4 linked regions of the Schizosaccharomyces pombe genome follow. The gene in region 1 interacts genetically with each later gene. Each region holds a gene or a part of one and is shown in the gene's direction. Other genes may lie near its edges.

What was found.
Region 2: mutations in lsk1 (region 1) and alm1 are lethal when combined (synthetic lethality), as found in Schizosaccharomyces pombe (one study listed by BioGRID).
Region 3: mutations in lsk1 (region 1) and ani1 together harm fitness less than expected from each alone (positive genetic interaction), as found in Schizosaccharomyces pombe (2 studies listed by BioGRID).
Region 4: of lsk1 (region 1) and htb1, changing one suppresses a phenotype caused by changing the other (phenotypic suppression), as found in Schizosaccharomyces pombe (one study listed by BioGRID).

What each region holds. Positions count from the first base shown.
Region 1 is NC_003424.3:3,952,063-3,957,371, forward strand, and holds lsk1 (P-TEFb-associated cyclin-dependent protein kinase Lsk1), read left to right. Parts: upstream 1-1,733; 5' UTR 1,734-2,408; coding exon 2,409-3,356; intron 3,357-3,402; coding exon 3,403-3,493; intron 3,494-3,508; exon of another isoform or gene 3,509-3,559; coding exon 3,560-4,238; exon of another isoform or gene 4,239-4,289; coding exon 4,290-4,353; 3' UTR 4,354-4,807; downstream 4,808-5,309. Other genes in the region: SPOM_SPAC2F3.16 (ubiquitin-protein ligase E3), read left to right, coding at 5,081-5,309. UniProt on the Schizosaccharomyces pombe protein: Catalytic subunit of the CTDK-I complex, which hyperphosphorylates the C-terminal heptapeptide repeat domain (CTD) of the largest RNA polymerase II subunit. Involved in RNA polymerase II transcriptional elongation and pre-mRNA 3'-end processing.
Region 2 is NC_003424.3:3,190,940-3,198,655, reverse strand, and holds alm1 (nucleoporin Alm1), read left to right. Parts: upstream 1-1,888; 5' UTR 1,889-1,940; coding exon 1,941-7,124; 3' UTR 7,125-7,209; downstream 7,210-7,716. UniProt on the Schizosaccharomyces pombe protein: Maintains the proteasome and its anchor cut8 at the nucleus envelope and is required for kinetochore component proteostasis. Proper kinetochore stoichiometry ensures the correct attachment of kinetochores to spindle microtubules during cytokinesis.
Region 3 is NC_003423.3:4,062,470-4,066,460, forward strand, and holds ani1 (FKBP-type peptidyl-prolyl cis-trans isomerase), read left to right. Parts: upstream 1-2,050; 5' UTR 2,051-2,087; coding exon 2,088-3,173; 3' UTR 3,174-3,491; downstream 3,492-3,991. Other genes in the region: deoxycytidyl transferase Rev1, read right to left, coding at 1-1,689; sporulation specific PIL domain protein Meu14, read left to right, coding at 3,825-3,906, 3,948-3,991. UniProt on the Schizosaccharomyces pombe protein: PPIase that acts as a histone chaperone. Histone proline isomerase that increases the rate of cis-trans isomerization at prolines on the histone H3 N-terminal tail. Proline isomerization influences H3 methylation thereby regulating gene expression.
Region 4 is NC_003421.2:1,410,383-1,414,224, forward strand, and holds htb1 (histone H2B Htb1), read left to right. Parts: upstream 1-1,976; 5' UTR 1,977-2,101; coding exon 2,102-2,482; 3' UTR 2,483-3,254; downstream 3,255-3,842. Other genes in the region: hta1 (histone H2A alpha), read right to left, coding at 1,142-1,540; exocyst complex subunit Sec5, read right to left, coding at 3,255-3,842. UniProt on the Schizosaccharomyces pombe protein: Core component of nucleosome. Nucleosomes wrap and compact DNA into chromatin, limiting DNA accessibility to the cellular machineries which require DNA as a template.

The sequences.
Region 1 (5,309 bases):
ATAAGACATAGCCAAACTATGAAGGAATTATGCATATAGCATTTGAATAAATTAAATACTGAAAGCTAAAAGAGCTGCTATAGAGTACAAACTCAGATTCTTATATCGCACCTGTGATGAATAAATGTTTGAAGAAGCGATTTTTATTAACGAAAATATAACATAATAAAAGAGCTTATTTTTTTTGCTTTGCTTTAAGATATTAGAAGTACTCTACTTTTACCCCATATTAAATGTTGAATAAGAAGATATGGTTTTCGCATTTGAAAGCACAACGTCCATGTCTTTTCGATTAAGATTCATTAAGTATTATTGGTGAATATAATTGAGTGCAAGGGACTCTCTCGCTGAATTTACCATATGCAAATATATCATAAATCCACAGAAACCAGTATAGGATGTCCGTTGAATAAGGAAAATTTTATTTAAGTCTAACTCTGATAATACGTTTTGTATGTCAGTCAATTGAATATAAGTGCAAATTTTTATTTTTTTAATGACCTATTTATTGTAATAAAATCACGTTTCTTTGTTAAAATTGCACAAATTGAGTAAGCTATATAAATATTTAGAATTGAATATATACATATGAAAGCAAACATTTGGTCGTAGGATCCTTGTACACTTGAATTTCTATGATATTTTATTATTTCATATTAATTATGCTTACGTTTTGGAATTTTTATAAAAAATTATATCGTACTGGTAGTAGCCGTTTGTACGATCATCTACCTTTTTATTTTTTAATTTCATTAAACAAATTTAATTTATTTGTTTGCATTTTTGAAAAAAAAAACTTATAAAAAATCAATTATGCTCATTTAGCTTTTTGCAATGATTTTTTTTTTTTTTAAACATTTAGTTTAACTAATGAGACTATTATTTAAACAATATTGCACCAAATTTATGTCAAAATCATCACTCTTAAAATTGAATAAACAACAGGAACAGAATTCCATGAGTTATTCATCTTGAAGCTCTTGACCTAACCTTGTTCTTTCTAAAACCAAGCATTTTTGTTTAATTTTTAAAAAAATATTATTGATTAATTTAGCTTTGCAAACAATTTGCACACAATAGATTTTGAGAGGCTGAATATGAATTTTTAATGTTTTGAAGACTGGCGTTCTACTAGAACGTCCAATGTGATAACGTTATACTTATGAAAGGATGTAAAACTTCTATATACAGTAAAATAATATATTCCCTCCTACCTTACATGTAAGGGTTGCATATTATTGATTATTTTACTTTGTATTCTTTAGACTCACGGAAAACACTAATTTATGGTAGAATATTAATTTCTCATAAATAATATTATTTTAAACGATTCAAAACTAATAGAAAAGCTCAGACTTGCCTTTATCTAGTCGACATTTGATTCCTTTGGTTTACTATCGCCAATGGCAATTTCCAAGGATCCATGCGGATTACCAGATTTATCTTCATCGCTTTTTAAAATGTTAAATATGAACTTAATATAATTCAGATGAAAAGGTTTAATCCAATAATATTATATGAATTGAGAATAACTGGTTGGACTTAGTTAATAGTTAAAAGACCATCTTAGCAAATGGGGAAGAGAAAATGGCTAAGAGTTAAGCATTGAATAAATACATTATTTACTTTGATTTCTATAAAACAAGCTGATATTCATCATAGCCTCAAATTACTTATTATTTTAAGTATGGTGTGGTAAAGGAATTGAGTCGCGCGCGTTTATTTCTATTTCTACTACACACCAACAACGAAGTTTACCTATCGCCCCTTGATTAAACTAGTGGACTTGCAAACTACTTCATTCATTGTCATAGAAGAGGAAGAACTAATTTATTTCTGTCTTTATTAAATTTCGAGATAATTGGTGTTTTTAACAATGTACATTTTGAATTGATAGATCAAAGAAATCAGGAGTGCAACTAAAAGAAAATTACGGTATATTTTTTTAAGCTGCAAGAGTTGATACTTAAAAGTATTTCCTAATTTTGTGGATACTCATATTTTGTACATTTACGTTTCAATAACATTTCTGCAACCGACTTATTCACAAATCTCTGGTTAGATTTCTCTATTGATTGAAAAGGTTTGTCTCACGTTCACCCTTCATAGTTTAGCGGTGAAAAAAATCTCCACTCTGAAAATTGTCCTTTCTTCATTTATTAGATTGCATGATTTATTTCACTGGATTTAACTAGCTTGTCTTGGCAGCTTACCTTTTATTTCCCTTGTACGATTTTTTTCCGGTGAAGTTGTATTTATTGTTACATAAAAACACATTTGGCCGTACTTTAACGATTAATTTCTTTTCTTTTATTCCCATCGAATTTTCGCTCACAGATTGCGTGTAATTCTCTTCATTGTTTAGGAATATTCCTTTTTTTATTTTTTATTTTTTTTAACCCTGTTAAATGTCATACTCGAAGAGTACAATTTATCGCCGACAAGGCACAGAACCAAATAGCCACTTTCGGCGTACCGTCGAAGAAAAGTCTCAGCTTTCTGGTACAAATGAGGAGTCTTTAGGAGGCCACACCCTGTCCTCTAATGCTTTCAAAAATAATTCATCTAGTATATCGCCATCCTCATCTGCGAAGGATCCTCGAGAACAGCGGAAAAGAACATTTCCTCTCAACGATACACATTCTTCCCGAGCAAGACAGCATGAAAGACCTTTTCGTTCTCGAAAATCTAGAAGGAGAAAGGGTAAAAAGGCATTCAGTCCTAGACCTGGCTCACCTCCATCACCTTCCTTTTACCGCTCAGGTAGTCAAAAACGAGCACGTAATTTAACTACCAAGGATTACTTTGCCAAACGCTCTGAAAGCTCTTCTAGCGCCTCCGTCTCACCTATATCACCGTCCGCAAACAGAAATGATTCAAAAAGGCAAGCTTCTTCTTTTCGAAGGTCTCCGCCTAGTTCTGTACATATGAAGCCTTCAGCTTTTAACGGTCGAAAGGTATCGCGGAGACCTTCATCTTCTCCTCCCCCTATTCCTTCTATCCCTCATGAAACTACTTCCTCCGATACACAAAAAAAATCTAGCGTGTCTTCTGGCTTTCCAGAGAACAAACATGGAAAATTTCACTTTCATATACCTAATGAACGCCGATCTCGATTCGATCAACCTCCTTCGAAACGTATGGCACTCACGTCCACGGCCCGTGAGTCTGTTCCAGCTCCTCTTCCTTCTCCTCCTTCCGGCCCAATTTATACATATACATATCCAAAGCCTGCCTATGAGAAAATCGACCAAATTGGAGAAGGAACTTATGGTAAAGTATACAAAGCCATTAACACAGTCACAGGAGATTTGGTAGCTTTAAAACGGATAAGGCTGGAGCAGGAAAAGGATGGTGTAAGTATAAAAATCAAGCTCGTAACTAAATTGACTAACTTTCTAGTTCCCTATAACTACTGTCCGTGAAGTCAAAATCTTGCAGCGTTTGCGTCACAAAAATATTGTTCGGCTATTAGAAATTATGGTGGAAAAAAGTACGATTAAATACTGTCCTCATTCACCGTTTAATTATAACTAGTTCTAACATTTTAAAATTCTAGGTTCTGTATATATGGTATTTGAGTACATGGATCACGATTTAACTGGAGTCTTACTAAATTCACAATTACATTTTACTCCCGGTAACATAAAACACCTTTCGAAGCAAATTTTTGAAGCATTAGCTTATCTTCATCATCGTGGGGTGCTTCATCGTGACATTAAAGGTTCTAATATATTACTGAATAACAATGGTGATCTAAAATTCGCAGATTTTGGTCTGGCGAGATTTAATACATCTTCGAAGTCGGCTAACTACACTAATCGCGTTATTACCCTTTGGTTTCGACCTCCAGAGCTATTACTTGGAGAAACTGCATATGACACAGCCGTGGACATATGGAGTGCTGGCTGTATTGTTATGGAGTTGTTTACAGGAAAACCTTTTTTTCAAGGGCGAGACGAAATCAGTCAGTTAGAGGTTATCTATGATATGATGGGTACCCCTGATGTTCATTCTTGGCCTGAGGTGAAAAATCTTCCTTGGTATGAGCTTCTGAAGCCAGTAGAGGAAAAGAAGTCGCGTTTTGTTGAAACTTTTAAGGAGATTTTAAGTCCTGCCGCCATTGACCTATGCCAAAAACTCCTTGCCCTAAATCCCTTTTGTAGACCGTCAGCTCATGAGACCTTGATGCATGAGTATTTCACTTCTGAGAGCCCACCTCCAGAGCCAGCAGTCATGTAAGTATAAAATTTATCGTTGAATGATATTTATCTAACTTATGTGTTTAGTTTGAAAAACATGCAAGGAAGTTGGCATGAATGGGAAAGTAAAAAACGAAAATCTAAAAGATAAATGAGCCAGAAAATTTTGTCAAGGCGAAGCTATGCAAGCTGGACAAATGTTTAAAAAAAATAATCTTTATATTTCATTTAATTTCTTTGTCTCGCTTTACTGCGGTCTATCTTCTATATATTTTGTTAACACTAGGCAGAGTAACAAATTTGTCTGATGCTGGACAACTTTTTTTCATTTTTTGCTCTCTTTTTCTTCCGAAAAAGATGAAATAAGAACACTAATAGCTCATGATAATTAAATGTTCCACTGGTTTATTTGACTATTATAACTCTTTCACCTTTTAAGAACTTAGAAATCAAAGGCTTGAAGTCTTGAAATGAGCTTGGTACTGTGTACAAAAAAGATAAATTCAAAGGACTCGTATGAATTTATGATGTGGTTTTCTTTTAATCAGTCAACCGTAGTAATAATAATTTGTTTACATATACTTTTTAATAATGTTAAGGTGCAGATGTTCTCAAGAGCCTGCTCAAATATTTAGTAATGATGATTTAACAATTAAGAGAGCAAAAATTAAGTTACTATTTGAATGCGTAGCTTAAAATTGATCAAAGTATATCTACGGCTTTTACAATAGTGTGATGGCACGGATATCACATTCCGCATTGCACTGGACCACACTATAAGTCAACACTGAACTGATCGAGGAATAGGTAAGCATTCCCCTTCTCCTTTTGATCAAGAACCATCATTATAACAAAAAAAACAAACACAAAAAAAGTCGATGTCATTGTCGGAGTATCTTCGTGAATTCGCTGAGATTTTTGAGGAAGCTGCACAAGAATTAACCTCAATATTCGAACTACCTCCTGACCTGTTGAAAGATATTACTGAAGAGGATGTTGGGACTGATGACTCTTGTAATAAGAAATTCCTTGAAGTTCAAAAGCAAAAAGAAGATGAAGAAGATGAAGAAATATTGAAAGGAGTGGATTTAACGCAGCAAGATTCCG
Region 2 (7,716 bases), 760 kb from region 1:
TCCGCCAGTGCCGGTAGCATTAGTAGCTGTGTTGGTATTAGCACCGGCTCCTAAACCACCAAACAAACCTGTCCCTGCTGGTTTAGGAGCAGTGGTAGCAGTGGATCCAAAAGCTGGCTTGGGAGCATTATTAGCATTTTGCCCAAAAGAAAAACCTCCGCTGGCAGGAGTAGTGGTCGTGGAACCAAAACCGAATCCAGAAGGCTTAGTGGCTGCATTATTATTGGCACCAAAGGAAAAATTACTACTATTGTTACCACCAAAAGTAGATGTTGGAGCGGTGTTATTATTTGCCGTATTATTATTAGCGCCAAAACCAAACAAACCTGTACCCATGGTACCTGAATTGGGTTGGTTATTCGTGTTGCTTCCAAACCCCCCAGTAGAAGAACCAAATCCCGTACCCGTACCAGTGGCAGCACCACCAAATAAGCCACCCGTAGTTTGACCTGTTCCTGTATTGGTTGCGTTATTTGAACCAAAAAGACCCGTTCCTGTACCAGTATTGGTAGTGTTAGTGGTTGAGCCAAAACCTGAAAAAGCTGGTTTTTGTTGATTAAATGTAGAGCCACCAAAAAGACCGGTTGAAGGAGTTGAGGTGGTATTATTGTTTTGACCAAATAACCCACCGGATGCATTATTTGTTCCAGAACCAAACCCTGTATTGGTAGTGTTACTACCAAATGCAGATCCACCGCCAAAGAGACCGGAACCAGGAGTGGTATTAGTAGCATTCGATGTACCAAACGGTGTTGCATTATTTGTGGTACCTGACAAATTCTGACCAAACGGAGTAGTTGAAGCTCCAAATGCGGGTGTTGAACCAAATGCAGAAGTAGTGTTCGTACTAGAAGCATTGCCAAAACGTCGTCCTTGATTATAGTCTTGTAAACGCAACTCTTCAAATGAATAAGATCTATAAGCGGGCATACAAGTTATAGACTGGAAGACACTAGTACCGTTTGTTTGAGGGTCTTTTTCAGAAGTTACCGCATAAGGTGGGTTAGCTGTACCATTCACAGCGTTTGCATTGCTTGAGACAAATCCAGAGGTTCCGAAAGCGTTGGTCGTAGCGGGTGTAGTGGACGAACCAAACAAGCCACCACCAGTACCTTGCGAACCAAACCTGTATTTCCAGCAGTATTGCCAGCGTTATTTTGAGAACCAAACAAGCCACCACCGGTACCAGTATTCGATGCAGTGTTACCGAACCCTGTTGAACCAGCGTTCGATCCAAAAGAAAATGACGTTCCAGTATTTGCATTGTTGTTGGCGGTATTTGATCCAAAGAGGCCACCACCACTAGGATTTGTGGCGTTGTTCGTGCCTCCAAAAGCAGGAGTATTGGATTGGCCAAACATACCTGTCCCAGAGGACATTCCAAAACCTGTGCCACCAGTCGTGGTAGTGTTGTTTCTATTTCCAAATAGTCCACCGTTCGTATTTGATCCAAACAAGGGTTGAGTAGTGTTCTGCCCAAAGCCAGTTGTAGAAGTGTTTTGGGAACCAAACAAAGTGTTCCCTGGAGTATTGGAGTTGGAACCAAATAACCCACCAGTTTGTTGATTATTTTGACCGAAAGCACCGGTTCCTCCTCCAAATCCGGAAGAATTGTTTTGTCCAAACATCACTAGGATGATATTTGATTAAATAATTAGTAAAGTCACCAAAATTGGTGTTGTGTGGACGACAGGTCCGAATAGTGCACTGCTACTCAAGATACGTTCAAGGCGTGATAGAGAAGAATACAGAAATTTAGCTTTTTTTTTAATACTCACGGTAATTACAATTTTTAAATTTGCTTCATTTGTTTTTCTCAACGTAATTGTCGCATTTCTTCTAACGTGGTATTATTTCTGTACATCGAGGTTGATCACTTACTTCTCGTATACGTACACTGGTGCTTCATAAGTCATCGAACGTTGATTCCAGGCTAGAAAATGTCTTCGGGGGGACTTGAAGATGATATTCAGCTGGTACACGAGTTTTTGGATGTATCTTTTGAGGATATAAAACCCCTGGTGTCTGTCAATGGTTTCGCTGTATTTATATCTGCTATTAAAACCAAGGTTAAAGACATAAACGCTTTAAAGGATCAGCTTGTCCTTCAAGAAGTCAACCATGAGCATAAGGAGAATGTTCTTACGAAGAAGATTAACTTTCTTGAGCAACAACTTCAATCTTCTAATAATCAAGCAGAGGAATCACGTAATCTTATATCGGTATTGAGAAATGAGAACGAATCGCTGAAAACCAACTTGGAGAATCAAAATAAGCGCTTTGATGCATTGACTACTGAGAACCAGTCGCTTAGAAGGGCTAACTCTGAATTACAAGAGCAATCTAAGATTGCTTCTGAGCAGCTTTCAATCGCGAAAGATCAAATCGAAGCCCTACAAAATGAAAATTCACATTTAGGAGAGCAAGTCCAGAGTGCGCATCAAGCATTGTCTGATATTGAAGAAAGAAAGAAACAGCACATGTTTGCTAGCAGTAGCAGTCGTGTCAAGGAAGAGATACTCGTTCAGGAGAAAAGCGCTTTAGTCTCTGATTTGGCTAGTTTGCAATCAGATCATTCGAAAGTTTGCGAAAAATTAGAAGTTTCATCTCGTCAAGTTCAAGATTTGGAGAAAAAGCTTGCTGGGCTTGCCCAACAGAATACAGAGCTTAACGAAAAAATACAGCTTTTTGAGCAAAAGCGGAGCAATTATTCCTCCGATGGGAACATATCAAAAATCCTTGAAACCGACCCCACTTCAATCAAAGAACTTGAAGAAGAAGTGGAAACTCAGAAACGACTTACAGCTCTTTGGGAGTCTAAATCTTCAGAGTTGCAATCAGAGGTTGCTGCACTTCAAGAAAAGCTCACTTCGCAACAAAGTCTATACAATAATGTGACCGAAGAGTTAAATAATAACAAGCAACAGCTATTGATTTCGGAGAATAGTTTGCGGGAACTGCAAGAGAAATATGATAGTGTAGTTAGTGAACTACAAGTGGTTAAAGAAAATAAAAATACCTCTGTTTCAGCTGGTGTAGGTTTGTTTTCTCCTTTGGCGCAAAAGTTAAGCGCCGTTCAAAATCCCGAATTTTCATTTACGAAAGTATATTCGGACAATATGAAACTCCAACAGAAGGTTTCTAGCTTAAAGCTTCAGCTAGACCGCTTGACTAACAAATTCTCCTCATTTTGTGAACAAGTTAAACAAAGGATTCCAGTTGTCAAACAACAGAGGAGTGAAATCGTTAGGAATAACATTTATATGAATTTTCTTAGCGAATCTTTGGAAACATCTAACAACAACCTAACCAAAGTACAAGCAGAGCTTTTATCGACCAAAATGCGCCAAGAAGCTTGTTACTTGCAGCTCACCGCATCTCGTACTCAATGCAGTGATCTTTCTCGAGAAGTTATTTGTCTCATGGCCGAACTTGATCATTTGAATGAAACTAAATCAAGAAACGTTCCCGCTACTGTGCAAGTTGCGCTTGATGAATACGCTCAAAATCCCTCTACTGCATCTGAGACACTAGTAAACAAGGAGCTTGCTAATTTTTCATCTATAAAGGAAGCTGTTTCGAAAACTCTAGAACTGCGGGAAAAAGTGCGGGCCCTTGAATGCGATGTTGAAATCCAAAAGCAAACTGTCCAATATCAAATTTCCAATGCAGTTAAAGAAAATTCAAATACACTTTCAGAGCAAATCAAAAATTTGGAAAGTGAGTTAAATTCGTCAAAAATAAAAAATGAGTCCTTACTTAATGAACGAAATTTACTGAAAGAAATGTTAGCTACTTCTCGAAGCAGTATTTTGTCTCACAATTCTTCCGCGGGCAATATTGATGACAAAATGAAATCCATTGATGAATCTACAAGAGAACTTGAGAAAAATTACGAAGTTTATCGTAACGAAATGACAGCTATTCAGGAATCCTTGTCTAAGCGAAATCAGGATTTGTTGAGTGAGATGGAAGCAATACGTAAAGAGTTAGAAAATTCCAAATATCAGCAGCAGTTATCTACTGATAGATTAACTAATGCTAATAATGACGTTGAAGCCTTTAAAAAGGAAGCCAAGGAGCTTCGTAGTATTAATCAAAATTTACAGGATATAATTAGTCGACAGGATCAGAGAGCCAGTAAATTTGCCGAAGAATTATTACATGTTAACTCACTTGCTGAAAGATTAAAAGGTGAACTAAATGCTTCGAAGGGTGAAAAAGATTTACGGAAAAGGACGCAAGAGCGTTTAATATCTGAAAACGATAAACTTTTGGCTGAGCGCGAGAGACTAATGAGTCTTGTATCAGATCTTCAAACTTTTCTTAACCAGCAACAGCTATCTGATGCTGCTAGAAAAGTAAAATTTGAATCTGAGAAGGAAAGCTTAAGCCTTTCCTTGCAGAAGTTGAAGGAGTCAAATGAAAAGATGAGTAATGATCTTCATTCTCTACAGAAATCTTTGGAAAAGAGCGGAATTGAGTACTCCAGCAGGATTAAGACATTAATGCTCGAAAAACAATCGTTAAGTGAAGACAACAGGAAATTGTTAGATAATCAACAAATGATGGAAATAAAACTCCAAGAATTAAACGGCGTCATTGAACTTGAAAAACAAAGATTTTCTACTTTGGAAGCCAAGTTTACACAGCAAAAAAATACGTCCTATAGCGAAAGGGAAGCTTTGCTAGAATCATCGCTTAGTGACTTGCAATCTAAACATACTTCCTTAGAATCCCAATACAATTATTCTTTAAGGAATATTGAACAGTTACAGGCCGCAAGCAAACTCGCCGAAGAAATGGTTGAAAGAGTTAAAACTGAGTATGATGAGTATCGATTGCAAACTTCAGAGTCCTTGGAAAAAAATCATTTAAAAATCACTTCTCTTGAACAAAGGATAGTTATTCTACAAGATGAGATAGCTTCTTCTTCTTTACGCTGTGAGAATATTACTAAAGATAGCGAAACAAGAGTTGCCTTGCTTTTAGAGGAAAATAAGCATCTTAACAATGAGCTTTCGTCACACCGAAATGCTGAAAAGCAACATTTAGAGAAGGAGAATGATTATAAACAACAGTTGTTGTTGGTAACTGAAGATTTAAGAAAAACTCGTGAAGATTATGAAAAGGAACTTTTAAGACATGCCGATGCTAGATCGACTCTTCAAAAACTGCGCGAGGATTACACGAAGGCATTAGAACAGGTTGAAGATTTGAATAAAGAAATAGCCTTAAAGGCCGGTATAAACGAATCTCAGCCCTTTCCCATTAGTGAAAAAGAAGATCCTTTGAGACAGGAAGTTTATGTCCTCAAAAAGCAAAACGCAATGCTTTTAACCCAACTTCAATCTTCCAATCTCAACTTTGCAGAAATAACTAGCCCATCCCCGGATTTAGATTCTGTTATGAAATTAGGATTATCAGATTTACAGAATCATGTGAAGCGTATATCCAAAGAAATGGAGATTATTTCATGCCAACGACAATTATTATTCCTTGAAAATAAGAAACTCAAGCGAACCGTTGAATCATCGAATCGAGTTATCGCCGATCTGCAAAGAGGTATAACGGAAAAGGATGTTAGCAGTACTTCTGAATCCGTTGGGGAACGTTCAAATTATCTAAACATGGTTGCTTTATTAAATGAGAGCAACAAATCTCTCCGAGAAAATTTAGAAAGGAACGAGGAAGTTATCACAGAGTTAAGAGAGAAAATAGAAACTCTTAAAACTGATTTGGCGAATTTTAGACTTAATAAAGAACAACTAGAATCACAGCTTCAAACAGAGAAAGCAGCTGTAAAAAAGCTTGAAAACAGCAACGAAGAATACAAGCGTCATAACCAAGAAATATTACTATCTTTGAACAGTAGCACATCTACGTCTAGTGATGCTTCACGCTTAAAGAATGAACTTGTTTCCAAAGAAAACTTAATAGAGGAGTTAAATCAAGAAATTGGTCATTTGAAATCTGAATTGGAAACTGTTAAATCAAAAAGCGAAGATTTGGAAAATGAGAGAGCGCAAAACCAATCCAAGATTGAACAATTAGAGTTGAAGAATACAAAACTAGCAGCTGCTTGGCGAACTAAATATGAGCAGGTAGTTAACAAGAGCTTAGAAAAGCACAATCAAATACGTCAACAACTTTCGCAAAAGACTTCTGAATTAGAAGCCAAGGTTGCGGAATGTCATCAGCTCAATGAACAACTCAACAAACCTTCTGCAACCCCCACTGCTACTACACAGTCTGAACCAAGTACGGTGTCACTGGAAGAATTCAATAGCACTAAGGAAGAACTATCTTCTACACAGCGAAAGCTAAGTGAAATTATGGATATCTTAAATACTACGAAGGAGGAGCTTGAGAAGGTCAGACAAAATAGTAATAAATCTGAGGGAACCAGTAAGGATACTGAAATACCCAACGAAGAAGAAATGGAAAGGAAGAAAGTCATGCAACAGGAAGTTTTGAGGTTACGTTCGAGAATTGCAAAAGAGCTACAGAAAAACGAATTACTCAGGAAACAAAATCAGGTTTTACAAGATCAAGTGAAAGCTTTGCAAGAGACAGTTGTGTCATCCGAGGAAGCAGAGTCCGCTTCGGTACATGCTGATACTAAAGATTTGGAAAACTTAAAAAAGACAGAAGAGATGTTATCAGTTACATTTCAAGTAATCTTCAACGAGTCCATATCTGACTTTTCGACTTCCACTGCCGACTTTACTACTTTTGTGCAAAAGGAATGGGAAAAGCGCAGAGAAATTTTACAGAAGGATGTTGAGGAACAAGTTGCTCAGTCGCATCAAAAACAACTAGATAACATCCGAAAAGAACTCGAGATGCGTAACAAGTTGAAGTTGAGCATGCTGGAAAAGAACTTAGCTAGAGTGCGAGCAGAGTTGGAGCAATCGAAGAAAAAAGATAGCCCTGCAATTTTAAGTTTGGAAGCTTCTAAAAACACTGATTCCAATAAAAGCAATTCTGAAGTCCCAGCAGCTCAAGTTAAAGAGAAAAAGTTAATCGCCAAAACTCACTCTGTTGACACTAATTCTCCTCCTAAACGGTCCAGTTCAGACGCTGGTATGGATGTTTCCAATGATGTTAAGAAAGCCAAATAGTAAAATATGAATTTTTTGGTATAATGCCCTTTTTAATGTTTCTTAAGAGTTTGTAAACAGATAATAAAATAGGTTAGCTGCATAATTATTATTTCTGGTTTCCAATAAAAAAAACGACTTTAATTTTATTATAATAAAAAGCTTTGTATTGTAATTTAATATTTTGATATTTTTTGAAGAGCTATAGATATTTTGCGCAACTAATGTCCTTATTCAGATATGTAAGCTACGCAGTTTGGTATCTGATTTAAGGATACGTAGAACTGCGGTGAGTTTTCCTTGTGGTCTATTATATTACAATACACAGGTTGTATAAGTAGCAACTGAGTATAGGTATTGTATTAACTGGGTTATAATGTTACCTATCACTAATATAGCTCATAACTGAACTGAGGAACGAGGTTCAGTTGTAACGGTATTTATAATATTTCTAAATAGTTGTTATCAACGGGTAACTATGTATATAGACGGATAGTTACCCGTGATTATCAATAAACGGATCTTAGCTAGTATTCCAACATATGACATATAGTGATACGCAACGTAGTGTATCATAGCGTAGTGTAGTATTGCTGACAAGATAAAATAAATA
Region 3 (3,991 bases), on another chromosome or scaffold:
AAGCTGAATTTGATGCAAAAGCACTTGGCATTTACCCATTCTGGAAAGCAACTCATGAAGCAACCGTTTTAAGAAATCTATCCCATCCTCTTGAAAAACGAAACGAACACCCCAATTAACATCTACGGATATGGACCTCCGTGGGGTTTCATTATTGATTATATCGGTATCAATTCCTCTGGAAATATTGTATAAATGCAGACCGTAATTTACCCCAAAAGTCTCTTGAAGATTGAATTTTTCAATTCTTTGCAGCTGCCCAATAGTACGCACACCGTACAAATTAAAAAGTTTCTGCGCTTGTGAAGAGCCCACCCCTGGTAAATCTTGAACAGACAAAGGACTCAATACATCAAAAACATTTTCTATTGACAAAGAATAAACGTTGTGAGGCTTCGCCTTCCTAAGTGCAAGTCTTGCTAAGAGAACATTTGGGCCAATACCAACGCTAACTTCGCAATTGGTTTTCTCGCGAACCTGCGAGCGGATAGACTCGGCAATCTCAAAGCAATCTTGAAAAGATGAAACACTAGAAGTTATATCTAGAAGAGCCTCGTCTATACTTATAACCTTAATATAGTCGTGAAGTGTATTAACAAGGATAGTGTAAAATTCTCTAGAAACAGATTCGTATGCTCCAAAATCATAATCAACAACCCGTAATGAAGGACACAGGTTTTTAGCTGTTCCAACGTACATACCATTTTTTATGCCAAACTTCCGAGCCTCATAATTACAACTAGCTATTTCGGAATTTTTTATACCATGAGCAACAGCAACGGGCTTCAGTCGTAGCTCATGAGAAAAGCGTGTTGAAACGGAAGCAAAAAAGCAATCAAAATCAACATGAAGAAGGAAACGAGATTTTTTTGATTTATCTTTCATAATTGGACGAACAGGTTCAGAAGCAGTAGTCATTGCTTGGATTTCATTTTTAAAATCAGCTTTCCAAGTACTTAAGTGATGTAAACGAGAGGAGCTAAAGAAATTCTCAAGAAAATCTTGATTTTGAGTGGTTGAATTTCGGACATTGGGATTTTTTAACAATTGATAGTTGTGCAGTGAAGACGCTGATAATCCACTCAAATCATCTAAAAATCCCTTTGCTTTACTCTCTTTTGTTTTATCTTTTTCATTATCATGTTCTTCTTCCTGCGAGCTTGTTTGAATATCTTCTAAGTTACCTTCGGGTTGGCTAGGTTTAGAGGCGACAAAAGAAAGGGTAGCTTGAGCCGATGAAGCTTGAAAGGTACGATAATTTATCCACGGAAGAATTTTCTTCTGTTTGATGCAATCCACTATCCATTCTGGTTTAACCACTTTCTGATGCTTCCATTGGCGAGCTTTGGAAGGAGTGAGAAATGAACACACCAAATATGATATGCTTGTTTTTCCATCAACATATTGTATAAAAGTACCTCCATTTGAAACTATCATTTGCCGTAATTCGGTATAAGACGGCTTTGTATATCCATTAATCGCTATTGCAAGTCCATGAAAGAGATCAGATTTAGAATCTTCATCAATACTTTTGTATAGAGCGGCATTTTGATTTTGAAGCTTTCTTTGTTTCCGGGAAAAATAATCTGCATAGTCGTGGAACCCAACACTTTCGTATGCCTCATCGTTTGCTTCGTCAAAGTCTGCAATCCCTACTGGGCGTCGACGCTTCCTTTGATTAAAAGCCATCCAGCGCGCTTCTCACTTTCAGTAAATATAAGTATTAATATGTTTCTGAAAGGAAAATAATACAAATAATAATGTAGCCACTTAAGCGGAAAAAGTGTAATTAATAAACAAACAATGTTTATAAAGAAAAACTAACTGCAAGAGCTTTTTTCTTTCATTATTTAACCTTATCCCAAAACTCGTGAAGCCAAACTATTTCAAAGTAAAAAACAACGAAATATCAAAAATAATTACTACGCGTTTGTTGTGATGCACGCTCGTCCAAATTTAATTAATTTTGAGTATAATTTGCAAATCGCGGTAATACGCACTACCCTTACTTAATGGAATACACAACGGTTTATGTATCAAAATTTTTTACATCCTCTACCACCTCACCTCTTAGGCAAGAATAAGTCATGTCTCTTCCAATTGCTGTTTATAGTCTTTCGGTAAAGGGAAAAGATGTTCCCGCTGTGGAGGAATCTACAGATGCATCTATTCATTTGACTATGGCATCCATTGATGCCGGCGAAAAGTCTAATAAACCAACTACTTTATTGGTGAAGGTTCGTCCCCGTATCCCCGTTGAAGATGAAGATGACGAAGAACTTGACGAACAAATGCAAGAGCTTCTGGAAGAAAGCCAGCGTGAATTTGTTTTATGTACTTTGAAGCCTGGTTCCTTATACCAACAGCCTTTAAATTTGACCATTACTCCTGGCGACGAAGTCTTCTTCAGTGCATCTGGCGATGCAACCATCCACTTGTCTGGTAACTTTTTGGTTGACGAAGAAGATGAGGAAGAGGAAGAATCTGACGAGGATTACGATTTGTCTCCTACTGAGGAGGATCTTGTCGAGACTGTCAGCGGTGATGAGGAAAGTGAAGAGGAATCTGAGTCGGAAGATAATTCAGCATCTGAGGAGGATGAATTGGATTCAGCTCCTGCTAAAAAGGCACAGGTTAAAAAAAAACGTACTAAGGATGAATCCGAGCAAGAAGAGGCTGCTTCTCCTAAGAAAAACAATACCAAGAAGCAAAAGGTTGAGGGTACCCCTGTTAAGGAAAAGAAGGTTGCATTTGCCGAAAAACTTGAACAAGGACCTACTGGTCCCGCTGCTAAGAAAGAAAAGCAACAAGCTTCTTCTAATGCACCTTCTAGTCCCAAGACTCGTACTTTAAAAGGAGGCGTGGTTGTAACTGATGTTAAAACTGGGAGCGGTGCGTCTGCTACCAATGGGAAAAAAGTTGAAATGAGATATATTGGGAAGCTCGAAAATGGAAAGGTTTTTGACAAAAACACTAAAGGTAAACCCTTTGCTTTTATCCTTGGTCGTGGTGAGGTTATTCGCGGGTGGGACGTCGGCGTTGCTGGAATGCAAGAAGGCGGTGAGCGTAAGATTACAATTCCTGCTCCCATGGCTTACGGCAACCAGAGCATTCCAGGAATTCCCAAGAATTCTACCTTAGTTTTTGAAGTCAAGCTTGTTCGCGTTCACTAAATTTTCATGTTGAAGATGAACATACTTTAACTCCCGTGTTTAAGAAGATCGCGGATTAAACTATGTATTCTATTAACTCTTTTTATCGCCTATCTTTTTCTTAGGTTTCAAAAAAAATCAGGGTATCATTTTGTATTTGAGTTAGGAAATTTTTTTTTAGTTAAGTGTTACAAACACTTTGGATATAGGACTTTTGGATGATTTGGATTGTTGGGTGATAAAGGAGATATAATCAATATACAATTTTTTAGAAAGAGCTGTTTGTATGTGTATGAGCATTAAGAGAAAAGAGAATAGCGCTTCCTTGATCGATACTAGTTAAGGATGTTTAAATTATGGAATTTTGAGTTTGAGTAAATATAAACGAGAACATTCCGAAAAACTCTATTAAAAGTAAAAAAAAACATATTGATAATAAAAGAGCCATTATCTGATTATCGCTAAATAAGTCTACAAACAGCTGTTTGTTTACGAAATTCTTAAAATTAATTATCGTAATAATCAACTTAAAAAAAAACAAGCAGTTTTAGAATTTAAAGAATTATTTTTATTATTTGTCTTTTTTCTATATTGTTTATTTGAAAATTGTGCTTCTGTTTACAGGCAAATCTTAAGGCGGGCATATATTTTTCTGAAACGTAAACAATCAACATGCCCAAATCAAGCAACTTGAAAATGCAGAGAAAAGGCTCTTTAAGAGAAAACGGTCTCGTGAAGGGTTTAAATAAAAATAGTAAGATATAAATTGGTGTGATAAATAAGTTAATGACATAGAATTTTCGATCAGCAAGTTAAAAGAACTATCTCATGCAGATGAC
Region 4 (3,842 bases), on another chromosome or scaffold:
TTATTGACTGATATTAGTATTATAATTTTCATACAACTATAAAAATACATTGGCAAAAAAGAAAAAATATTGAAAAATCCTAAATAGATACGATGAAATCGATTTCTAACAAAAATTAAAATTAAAATAAAAAACTAAGAAAAAAAAAAAAAATCAAACAGTTACATAAGAACCTAGCTATTTTTTTCCAAACTCCTTCCTATTTATTGTATTCTTTTCAAACATATAAAGAGACGTACAGCAATCACTATCCATAAATAACGATAAAAGCAGCATTATGGGTAAATGAATTTGTGAAATTCACCAACTTGCCAAAAATTGCTTACATATTCTCGTTAACTGGCTTTACCGGTTCCGGGTACAATTCATTAACCAATCGGTTGGACGTAATGACTAAATAGCCCATAAGAAATATAGACAGAAAAAAAGGGAAAATAAACGTGAAAATTACCAAATCTAAGCATTCTCAATTTATGAAATGCTTGGTCTTTTAGTTGGAATTGTGCTGTACTGGTGCGACCGAGCTTCGAAATCGGCGAAGGAAAAAACTCAAAAGAAGCAAACGTCTACCGTTTCACGAAAGAAGAGTAAAAAAACTGCATCGAAAAAAAATTCTGGAAATTCAAAAGCATTAATTGTAAAAAAAAATTAAGTACTATTCTTTTGCATGTACTGCTCGATTCAATGTTTAATGACACTCCTTTCATCAATCTGTTCATCTCCACTCTACAATCTATTTATTCATTTGATACATACTCTCATATAGGATTTTGAAAAATATACTCATTACTATACAATATTATAATTAAGGGAGAATAAAAAAGAAATAAAAAAAACCAAAGGAGCCAGTTCAAGTAGGAATTACTTGTGCAAAAGCCCTTCAAGTACTAGTAAAAGTAACTAGTAGAGAATGACTTGGCTGCATCTAAAACATCCTTAAAGTTCAGGCATAACGAAAACAATAACAGCAAAGAAAAAGAAAGACGCAAAAAGTTCAAAAGGAAAAAGAACCAAACATGGTTTAGAAGCGAGAAACAACCAAAAAAAGTATTGCGGGGTTGTAAAAAAAGAAAGGTCCTTTACAACTTTTCAATGTCTTTCCCTTCATCCTCTTTCAAAATGTTTTACTTGACGACTGACTTTACAGCTCCTGACTAGGCTTTCCAGTGCGACCAGAAGTTTTGGGCAAAAGATGGGCGTTGATGTTGGGAACAACACCACCTTGAGCAATGGTAACGTGACCAAGAAGTTTGTTCAACTCTTCATCGTTACGGATGGCGAGTTGAAGATGACGGGGAATGATACGAGTCTTCTTGTTGTCACGAGCAGCGTTTCCAGCCAATTCGAGAATTTCAGCAGCCAAATATTCCAAAACGGCGGCCAAGTAAACGGGAGCACCAGCACCAACACGTTGAGCATAGTTACCCTTACGTAACAAACGATGGACACGACCAACGGGGAAAGCCAAACCGGCCTTGGCAGAACGGGATTGAGCAGATTTGGCAACAGCAGCCTTACCACCAGATTTACCTCCAGACATGACGAAAAATACTGAAACTAAATAAAAAAAATAAAAGTTTGAGTTAAAAAAAAAAGATTTTTCCTTCTTTAATGAAAAAAGATAACAGTCAACGATGAAGCAGCGAATGGATCAAATTTGGTGAAATTAACAGAATTTTCTCGCAATTTCAGCCTTTACGGACAATCAATCTCCTTATCAACTAAGGATCAATTGTTTATATCAATTTCAATACGTGTATGGATCAAAAGGTATCCTAAACAACGAAAAGTCGCGATATAGGGAAAAGGAGACATAGGAGCGCGCACCCTTCATATATATACTAATTCTAATCTTCCGTATAAGCACGTCTAACGCGTTCTTGTAGATGACGTTTCCGCGTCGCATGGCTAAACACCAGGGTTAGGGTTGTGATGCCCAAGTTGTATATAACCATCGCGTCGCCTGCAGGCATGTTAGTTAATACCAACAACTTGATATTGCACGAAAGTTTAGGATTATCAAATTCCTACAATTGCAATTACTTAGTTCAGTCCATCAATTTTGAGATTCTCTCGACAACCAATTTTTAAATCGTAAAAAATGTCTGCTGCTGAAAAGAAACCCGCTTCCAAGGCTCCCGCCGGTAAGGCTCCTAGGGATACCATGAAGTCTGCTGATAAGAAGCGTGGTAAAAACAGAAAGGAAACTTATTCATCCTATATTTACAAGGTGTTGAAGCAAGTTCACCCTGATACTGGTATTTCCAACCAAGCCATGCGTATCTTGAACTCTTTCGTCAACGATATTTTTGAGCGTATTGCCACTGAGGCTTCCAAGCTTGCTGCTTACAACAAGAAGTCCACTATTTCTTCCCGTGAAATCCAGACTGCTGTTCGTTTGATTCTTCCCGGTGAGTTAGCCAAGCACGCCGTTACCGAAGGTACCAAATCCGTCACCAAGTATTCTTCTTCTGCTCAGTAAGCGAATCGCACGATTGTGCAATCGTCTTTTAGTCAGCTGATGAGTTTCCACAGCCTTCCATTTCGACAATGACAACCTCACGAAACAAAAGGGGGTAGGTTATTTGCTCTTTTGGAAATATATATTTTCCTCCTCCCTTTTTTAACGTTTTCGTTCCCTCCTCTTTTCCATTTCCGCCTTTTGTATCGCATTCCTATTTTATTCCCCGTACAATGACGACAACAACAACACAGGTGCAGCACATCACGCGATAGTTTTTTTTACATTACACATGGTTCTTCATTTCTATGACCGGTTCGTGGAGTTGAAAGGTGTTTTGTTTTGCACAAGTCGTACTGGATCAAATTGGGTTTTGTGTTCGATTCGACGGGGACGAGATGCTTTTTCTTCCCTTGGTTAATCTTCTTCCCTTGTGCATTTTATAGCTATCACCACTGGTTGGAGAGTTGAGTTTCTTTTTTTTCGACTGTTTGTTCCTTTCCGCCATGTATGGAAATAATTTGTGTCATTGGCACTCATACAGACACTTCTCACACTCCATTTCCCGTTCCACTCCTGGGCATCTTGGTTTATTAATGGATTTATTATTATTATTATTGTTTATGTTGGTGATTTAGATTGATGGTGAATGGAATATTATTATTCACATTCAAAATATCCCAAAGAATCCAGTGTGCGAAGTTGATGTGGTTTGGTATGTTTGCTATGCAAATGATTTTATATATGTTTGGAAAGATTGTAAAGTAATTCTACTATTAATAATAATATAATATTATGAAAAGATCATTTCAATAAACTGAAACTTGAGTCGTGTTTTCGTAGCTGTTTCCGTAGTCGGACTTATGGAGCTGGCTTCTGCCTTTCTTTGGATTTGTTGTAGCAAGTCGAGTATGGTAGGTGGAAGGCATTTATTTAAGAAATGCGAAATACTAGGAATGTCGTGGAAAAAGGCATATGGTGAGTGTAAAGCAAACTGAGCGAGCATACAAGACGTTGTGGCTATCATCCAATCTGCCGCTTCATTAGGAGGCATGGAGTCTTTTAATTCTAAGTATATGGTTTCTAGAGTGGAAAACAATTGGAAGGTCGGTGGTTGAATGCTCAACTTGGATATGGAAGAGGGTGTGGTATTGGAAAAACTGGTATCCCGTATGGCCAACAATTTATAAAGATCTTGCAAGTTTCGAAGAGATTTTGAAATTCTCGGATCGAGGGAGGGAGAAACCTCGTTAAGAGGAAATGTCTGTAAGAGAAACTTTTGGTAAGGTACCAAACGTGAACGCAAGTTTAACAGTCGAGTTACGAAGTGTAAAACATCAGAGCGGGTAATGGAGGTAGAGAAAACAGGTAGAGAGGTTGT